Kluyveromyces lactis: one gene and its partner. The protein of the gene in region 2 interacts with the protein of the main gene of each other region in a pairwise test. Links are inferred from orthologs where the notes say so. Each region holds a gene or a part of one and is shown on either strand. Other genes may lie near its edges.

Region 1 (3,574 bases), on a different chromosome or scaffold from region 2:
AACTATCAATGCAGATTTATCCTGCGAGGTTAAGTGTATTAATCTTGCAAAAGAATAACAAAAGGAGAAGGTTATTTAAAATGAAGTTAATTTAAACTCAATTAAGAGATCTTCATTACCTTTGTCCTTCGTGTCAACTGCATTTTAACAAACGCAGTTGAGCTAAGAAAAAAACGCGCACAGGCAAAACATGAGAGACAGAGAAGGATTTCAAAGTGCAAATTATTAATTGTTTGCGATTTTGGTTCATTATCCCCCGTTGATGCGTGTTTTTTCCTGGCATAGTTAAAGTTCTTCCTGAATTAGGTCTGTAAAAAGTGCTGTTTAGAAGTAATAAAATTCCATTGCTCTCAGCATACTTCATTTTCGGTATAAAAAAGGAATGTGTCAGGCAAAAGGACTTCTAAGTTTCAAACAATCATTGTTTATGAAAGAAAGAAAGGAAGAAAGAAAAGAAGAGTGAAGAGGCTAACATCCATACGTTGTTAGTCTTAATTCTTTTTTTTTTTTAGGATTTTTATCAGCATTTTTATCATTTTTTTGGGGGTTTTTAATAATGGGAATAGTTTATAATCATCGAACGTCGGGTGCATGCACACTCAGACAGACTCGTTATGAGCAGCCATTGTCCAAATCAGCCGACAATTCGTCACGCGTATAGTTGAACTATTTTTTTAATGTTTTTTTGTTAACGTTGTCTTGTTGTATATTTTCGTTTTCCTCAGTAAGCTGAGAAACAGTAGTAGTTTTGATTAACCTGTTGTTGTTGATGATGATCGTTCCAAAAAGGTTGTTGAGGTTGCTCATAATAGTTCACATTGTCATAGTTCTTTGGTCTAGGGCTGTATTGGGAAGGTGGAGAGCAGTTGAATTGTTTTTGGTAACCGTTATTATAGGAGTAACTTCTCAAGTCAGAATAAACCGGTGATGAATAAGCCATCGAGGAATGTCCACAGTTTGGTGTTTGATAACCATAGGCCATCGACGAGGCAGATGAATACTGACGTTGGTGAGTTGGAACAGAAGATGGGCTCAGTTGATGTTGCTGCTGCTGTTGCTGTTGTTGATAGGCAGATAGTCTCTGCTCTCTGACGAAAGCATTGTATGATTCTTGGAAAGATTCATAAGTATCGAACTTATCTTCAAACAACCTCCATTCAAACGCCTTAAGCCAAGACTTTTCGTACTGGTTAATTGTCAACAAGTCCATACCAGTAGCTTGAGACCATGATTTATTGGTGAAAGTTTTATCATCGTTGAACTTGTTGGCTAGCACAAGTGCAACCACCAAATTTTGATAGATGATGTCGACAGATTTACCACCAATAGACTGAAAGTCACAATCGATGAGATCTAGGTACTTGATCAAATAGTCCAAAGCCAAAAAGATGGTAACAGATGGTAATCTAGTGGATCCCAACACAGAGGACACACTGCTCGAGAACAGTTCCATAACATCTGCGGGAACATCAAAACTGCCGAATGACAAACATGAGTTCTTAGTAACGAAATCAGACATCGTGTTTAATTCATAGTCCAATACTTCGCAAACACCGCCATTGACATTTTGTTCTTTCTCTGGGATAACTTGATTATTTGCAGGTGGAACCATAACCTGAGGCTGATTCATCATCATAGAATGACCTGGCATAACAGGGTGACCATGATTCTGAACCAAGCCAGGAACATGTCCAACAACAGGAGCAGCTGGTGGTTGCATATAGGATAGACCAGGTGGAGGAAAGTAAAAAGAGTTGGATTGACCATGTCCTGGTTGAAACATACCATCGATTTGGTGAGGGGTGATTGTTGTAGGATTAACTGCAGGACAACCGTAACCGTTGATAGATGATACCATACTAGGGTTCATAGAACCTGAACGATGGTGGTAAGGGGTAGCCATGCTGTTCGATTGAACAGACATAGCTGGATAATTTGGGTAATACATGAAAGAAGCCATGATTACTGCTATCAAAATAAAACCAATTTATCAAGCGGAGAAGGAAAAAATAAAAAAGAGTATAACAAAAAAAAATGAAACAGTAAAGTTACTAGATCAAATAAAGATATCAAGCGAAAACTGTCTAGCGAATGTTACTAGAGTATGCAGTTTCCCTTCAACGATACTTGATTAACCTAGATTTTTAGGAGGAAAGGGAGATTTTTTTTTCTTTTAAATTTAGTAGTTTCAGTCTTTGAGTAAGTTTAGTCACTGAAGAGTTATTATTTAACCTTCAGCCGTAAAAAAACTTGATCAACAACAGGGTAGAAACAAACCAAAAGAGAGATTTCTTTTGAATTTCAGGCAATTGAAAGAAATAGAATCAATAGTGCTTCGTCAAATAATTTCTCTATAACAGAAGATTTATTCTCTCACGACAAGTAAATGCAGGGGAAAATCGAATCTGATTAAACTGAAACGAAGTCGAATAAAACTGGCAGGAAAAAGTTGTAATGAAATGCACAGATTAGAAATACGATAGGGCTAATATTAGACCAGTATCGAGTAATGTGATTTGCTCTGAACTTTAGATTTTCCTCTATTCAAGCCTTCTGGTACAATTGCTCAAAGAAATGTAAAAGTTGGTAAGGGAAAATACGCGGAGACTAACAAAAAAAAAACAATTTGCACAGTCAACAACAAATTTAACCGTCGAGTGAAGTTAATGGGTGGTGATTGAATAATAAAAGTATGTGGATGGGTCTTTTATTGAGATTAAAATTCACAACTCTCAGAGGAGAGAGAAAATAAAAACGGATTTGTCTTCTTCTTCTTGACACTTTCTTATTCCAAAACAAGAAAGATGCAGTGACACACAATAAGACAAATTAACCTAATAACTATCTTCAGAGTGCGACGATGAGTTAGACCAAACCAATGAAAAAACAGAAAGACTGTTTAGTAAGCTTTTATCTCTCAAAATAATTCTTTACAAAATTTGAATTTGCAAAGTGACGCTCTTCAATGAGGTGGGAACACGTCCTATGATAAAATCCGTCAACAAAAATGTTCGATAGAATTAATAGCTGAAATTGTTTCTTTAACTCCTTCACTCTCTAAACTAAGTAGCAAAAACTAGGAGAAAAAGATCCAAAGACACGCAGCGGCTTTCCAAAAGAAAACTAGGACAGATAAAACAGGATTATCTAACCGAAAACCAACACAGATCCAACTGAACTGAATCAAGTACAGGAAATCCGAAGAATATTCTGTATTTCAAATCAAATAAAACCAACTCACAAACACCGTTTATTAAACAAGTGATGGATGGTGGATTAAAAAAAAAAGAAAAAAAGATGAGGGAAAAGAGGATGATATATGGTTCGGCCTGGTGAATGTAATACTTCCCCGAGTCCTAATAATATATCCCTTGAGTGATGAAGAACTTTGTCCGTTGACCTTCTGAAAACCTCATCAAAAAGATACCTAACTGTACGTACACAAAATAACAAGCATTTAAACTATATAGGTTGAAATTTATATATTTTTCTCTTGTTTTTTTTTCTTTCATTTTGACAAATCGAAGAAAAAGAAAAAGAACTTCGTTCTAAAGTGGAAACTTAATGAGCTTTA
Region 2 (3,732 bases):
AATTGGTTATTTCCGATCCAGAGACACATATACTTGAGATGAGATGAGATGAGATGAGCGCTGGGTACAATACGACCATCTCAAGTGCAGGGGTCGTCTAGTGGTATTGAGCATGGGGTTTATCGCTGCTGGGTATCGTACAAAGGATTTCCAGAGTGTTTATAGTGACCGAGAGGACTGGGCCATCTGCAGAAGAGCGAAAGTACGAAGGTCATCGAATTTACTTTCAAGGTCTTCTCGAAGGAAAAAATGTAAGGTACAAGACAAACCATTGACTATACGGGATTTGCCCAGTGAATTGATCCAGAAAATCTTTGTGTTTAGTGGTAATCATGAACTTTACGAGGTGAATAAGTTCTTTTATACATGTTTGAAACCAACGAGTTTCCTCTTGCATAGGTTCATCTTGGAAAATTTCTACCATGATTTGAACCGTGATCTAACAAGCTCGAAAGGTAACGAGAATGGTCCCGTACCTGCGTTCCATGGGTTGAATGGGAAGGTATTCGAAAACTCGGTGTATGTTTCGTTTTTAAACGATAATCCTCATTTGATTCAAGAGATTGGCCATATCGGACATCATGAAGAGTTAACTGCACTGCAAGAGGAAAGATTGGCTCTGTTTCAAGAGGGAGATCTAACAGGACTCGATGCTAGGCATAAGGAATTGCAGAAACAGGATTATCCATCAATATTTTACTCGGAGGTAGAATTTTTTTTCCAAAACGATATTCAACTAAAGAAACCAGTTTACAACCAGTTGATACTTGAACTATCCGTCCACTACGAGGTGAAGCAGCCTTATTTCCTCATAGAAACCTTAATGCATTGGTTTTTCCATACTAACCAAGGTCAATATAACATCAACCATTTATTCCATGCCATTATCTTGGTAACTCACATCTCATCGGTGTTACCTTCTAAATCCTTGGATAATAATGGACCCTTAATCGAACTAATCAACAACATATATTTGACTCCTGCTGGTCAGCAGTTACATGAGTTGCTATTAGTAGACGATTATACTGACGAAGAGGCGTTTAGTAGAAGGAGAATACGTGTCCTGAACAAATTCATCAATAAATTCTACAAGTTGGAAGAAACAAGACCATTGTTATTGTCTCAGGACGTCTTATGGGAAACCTTGGTCGACGTTAAGGACAAACATGTTATGAAACTTATTATGGAATATGGAGGACAGCCTAGCATCAACGTAATTCAATAAATCCGTAATATAAAAAGTAAAAGGAATGGTTACAGATTACTATACACTTATTTATTTATTTATTTGTTTGTTTGTATCTTTAGATGAGCAAGGCTATCTAAATCTAAAATCGTTAGTTGGCATGGTTATATTCTGCAAACCATGGGTGGTTCAAGGCATCCTTTGCAGAAAGTCTTGCATCTGGGTTCAGTTGCAATAGACCATGCAATAGATCCACTACATTATCGTCCAACACTTCCTCCGTATTGTTTTGTAATAGCTGTTTCAAATCACGAGGCATATGTGGAGGCAAAAGTGGATTGTATTTAGCCAATTGAGTCACTTGCGGCCATGTCTGCTCCACTGGAGTACCCATCGTATCGAATATGAGTTTCAACTGTTCCTCATCGTTGGAACCAGGGAATAACGGTTTCCCCATAATCATTTCAGCCAAGATACATCCGCATGACCAAATATCGATTGAAGTGCAATAGTTTCTTGACCCCATCAACACATCAGGAGCCCTATACCAAAGAGTCACCACTTCACTGCTGAAAGTGTTAACTGGGATACCAAATGCACGAGCCAACCCAAAATCACCAAGTTTCAATTGACCTCTGTTATTGATCAACAAGTTCTGAGGTTTCAAATCACGATGCAAGATCCTGTTCTCATGGCAAAACGCTACACCTTGTAACAACTGCCATTGGAAATATTTCACCAAATCCATCTCTAAGCCCTTATGAGAATTTCCCTTGTTTCTATTGTCCATGAACTTCTTAAGGTCATTATCCATGAATTCAAACACCAACGTCAACTTATTCTCAGTATGAATCACATCGAATAGCCTCACGATGTTATCATGTTTCAACTCTTTCATCAACGATATCTCCCTAATGGCCGTTGACGGAGTTCCTTCTTCGCTATCCAATTTCACTTCTTTCAAAGCAACGTATACACCAGTCGTCTTATTCAATCCTTTGTACACGGTAGCATACGTACCGTTACCAACCTTTTCAAGTTGCTTGAATCTGGTTTCATAGCGTAGTAGAGGGGACAAACGATTGCTGCGTTAGTATAAAAGTCAGAGTTATAGTGGTAAGGAGAAGTACTCATCTGCTTTGTACTCCTCGCTGCCAGTATCAAATATTCACAAAACTGCATACTGAGATGGTGCCACCATAGTTTATGTTTATTGATGATCCTTGGAATGGTCCTGAGAGCTATATAACCATTATCGGATCCTCTTTTTACATCTGTTCAAGAGATAATGATTCAAATAGGAATTGAAATCTTCAAATATTTAAGAATGGTGTTATCTAGAATAAAATAGTGGATACAGAAGGAAGTAACTTAGAAGAGGACAGAAATATTTGAGGTTTGGCAGTTGTGGCGTCCATCTCAGATAGTTTACTACCTAATTATATATGCGTACCATTTCAAAACTCTTCTTTCCCCTGTACTTGCTAATTATAATGCCAGTGACAAAAGTCTACTTGAAGATCTTCTAATATTAGACAGGAGTAAATACACAATTACGCTTTAATACCTGGAAATCTTATCCATTCATTTACAGTAGTAAATAATAATATTCATGTTGAACAACTTCCAAGTGGTTATATGGCTAAAGGCAGGAAGATATCTTGTATGTTGCTTCGAATTCCTGGTGCCTTTAGAGCATGAGTAACGTTCGAAGTGAAAAATTTAAAGAGGGCATCGATTCATCAACTAATAAGCAGTTTCAACGCAGACTCGAAGAACTCGATGGAATACCAGGATATAGAGAACCATATAGACTGTGCACAGGTAGAGTTGACGTAAGTTTGATATGACCTCGAATACGCTTCATTATACCGTGGAGAAATCCAGTATTTTGGGACCAGAATGGCAATCTTTATATTCGACAGCGGAACCTGTCGACTTCGATAAATCACATTTCGAACAAGCTATGCTAAATGTGATAAGGCAGCCTAATGTAAACTCGACTGTTATTCTACGTGCAGATATGCTTATAGACAATGAATACGACTTAGAGTCTGGTTCATGTGTGAAATCAGAGAAGAAAGACATCGCGTTGGGAAGCGATGAGGGTATATTGAAAGTAAACATCGATGATCTAGCACCGAGATCTGTACCGATAGCGTTGGCTGATGTTACCACAAAGTTCCAATTTGTTAGGAGGATTGTTCCGAGGAATCCATTCAAGGATGCTATCATTAATCAGACGTGTTTGGTTATGAATTCCAACTCAGATGCTTCAACCTCTTTAGTAATTTACATCCCACATTTTGATAATGCTGAGTTATGTCCGTTTTATATCCCACAAGTGGCTGCAGTAGGGATTCTATTGCATGATCACCAGCTATCGGTGCATTATATCCCTTTCGCAGGGCAAAAAGAGCTTCTTTTCGATCCAAAACAACGGGTGGTAAGAACTGCTTTCAGGTTATTACAAACAGCATACAAGCATTCGAAAGGTGTCAAAGATGGGTATGCGAAACGGGTAATGCATGACGTTGTCGTGGATA

Evidence for each region.
Region 1: the proteins of PHO85 (region 2) and CLG1 interact in binary tests that used the Saccharomyces cerevisiae proteins (3 or more experiments, as listed by UniProt). The link is inferred for Kluyveromyces lactis from reciprocal best matches to the Saccharomyces cerevisiae genes PHO85 and CLG1.

What each region holds. Positions count from the first base shown.
Region 1 is NC_006037.1:142,308-145,881, reverse strand, and holds CLG1 (Clg1p), read right to left. Parts: upstream 1,961-3,574; coding exon 722-1,960; downstream 1-721. UniProt on the Saccharomyces cerevisiae protein: Cyclin partner of the cyclin-dependent kinase (CDK) PHO85. Has a role in cell integrity and polarized cell growth together with the other PCL1/PCL2 cyclin family members.
Region 2 is NC_006040.1:1,021,558-1,025,289, forward strand, and holds PHO85 (cyclin-dependent serine/threonine-protein kinase PHO85), read right to left. Parts: upstream 2,388-3,732; coding exon 2,371-2,387; intron 2,236-2,370; coding exon 1,338-2,235; downstream 1-1,337. Other genes in the region: KLLA0_D11968g (uncharacterized protein), read left to right, coding at 113-1,225; TRM44 (tRNA (uracil) methyltransferase), read left to right, coding at 3,033-3,732.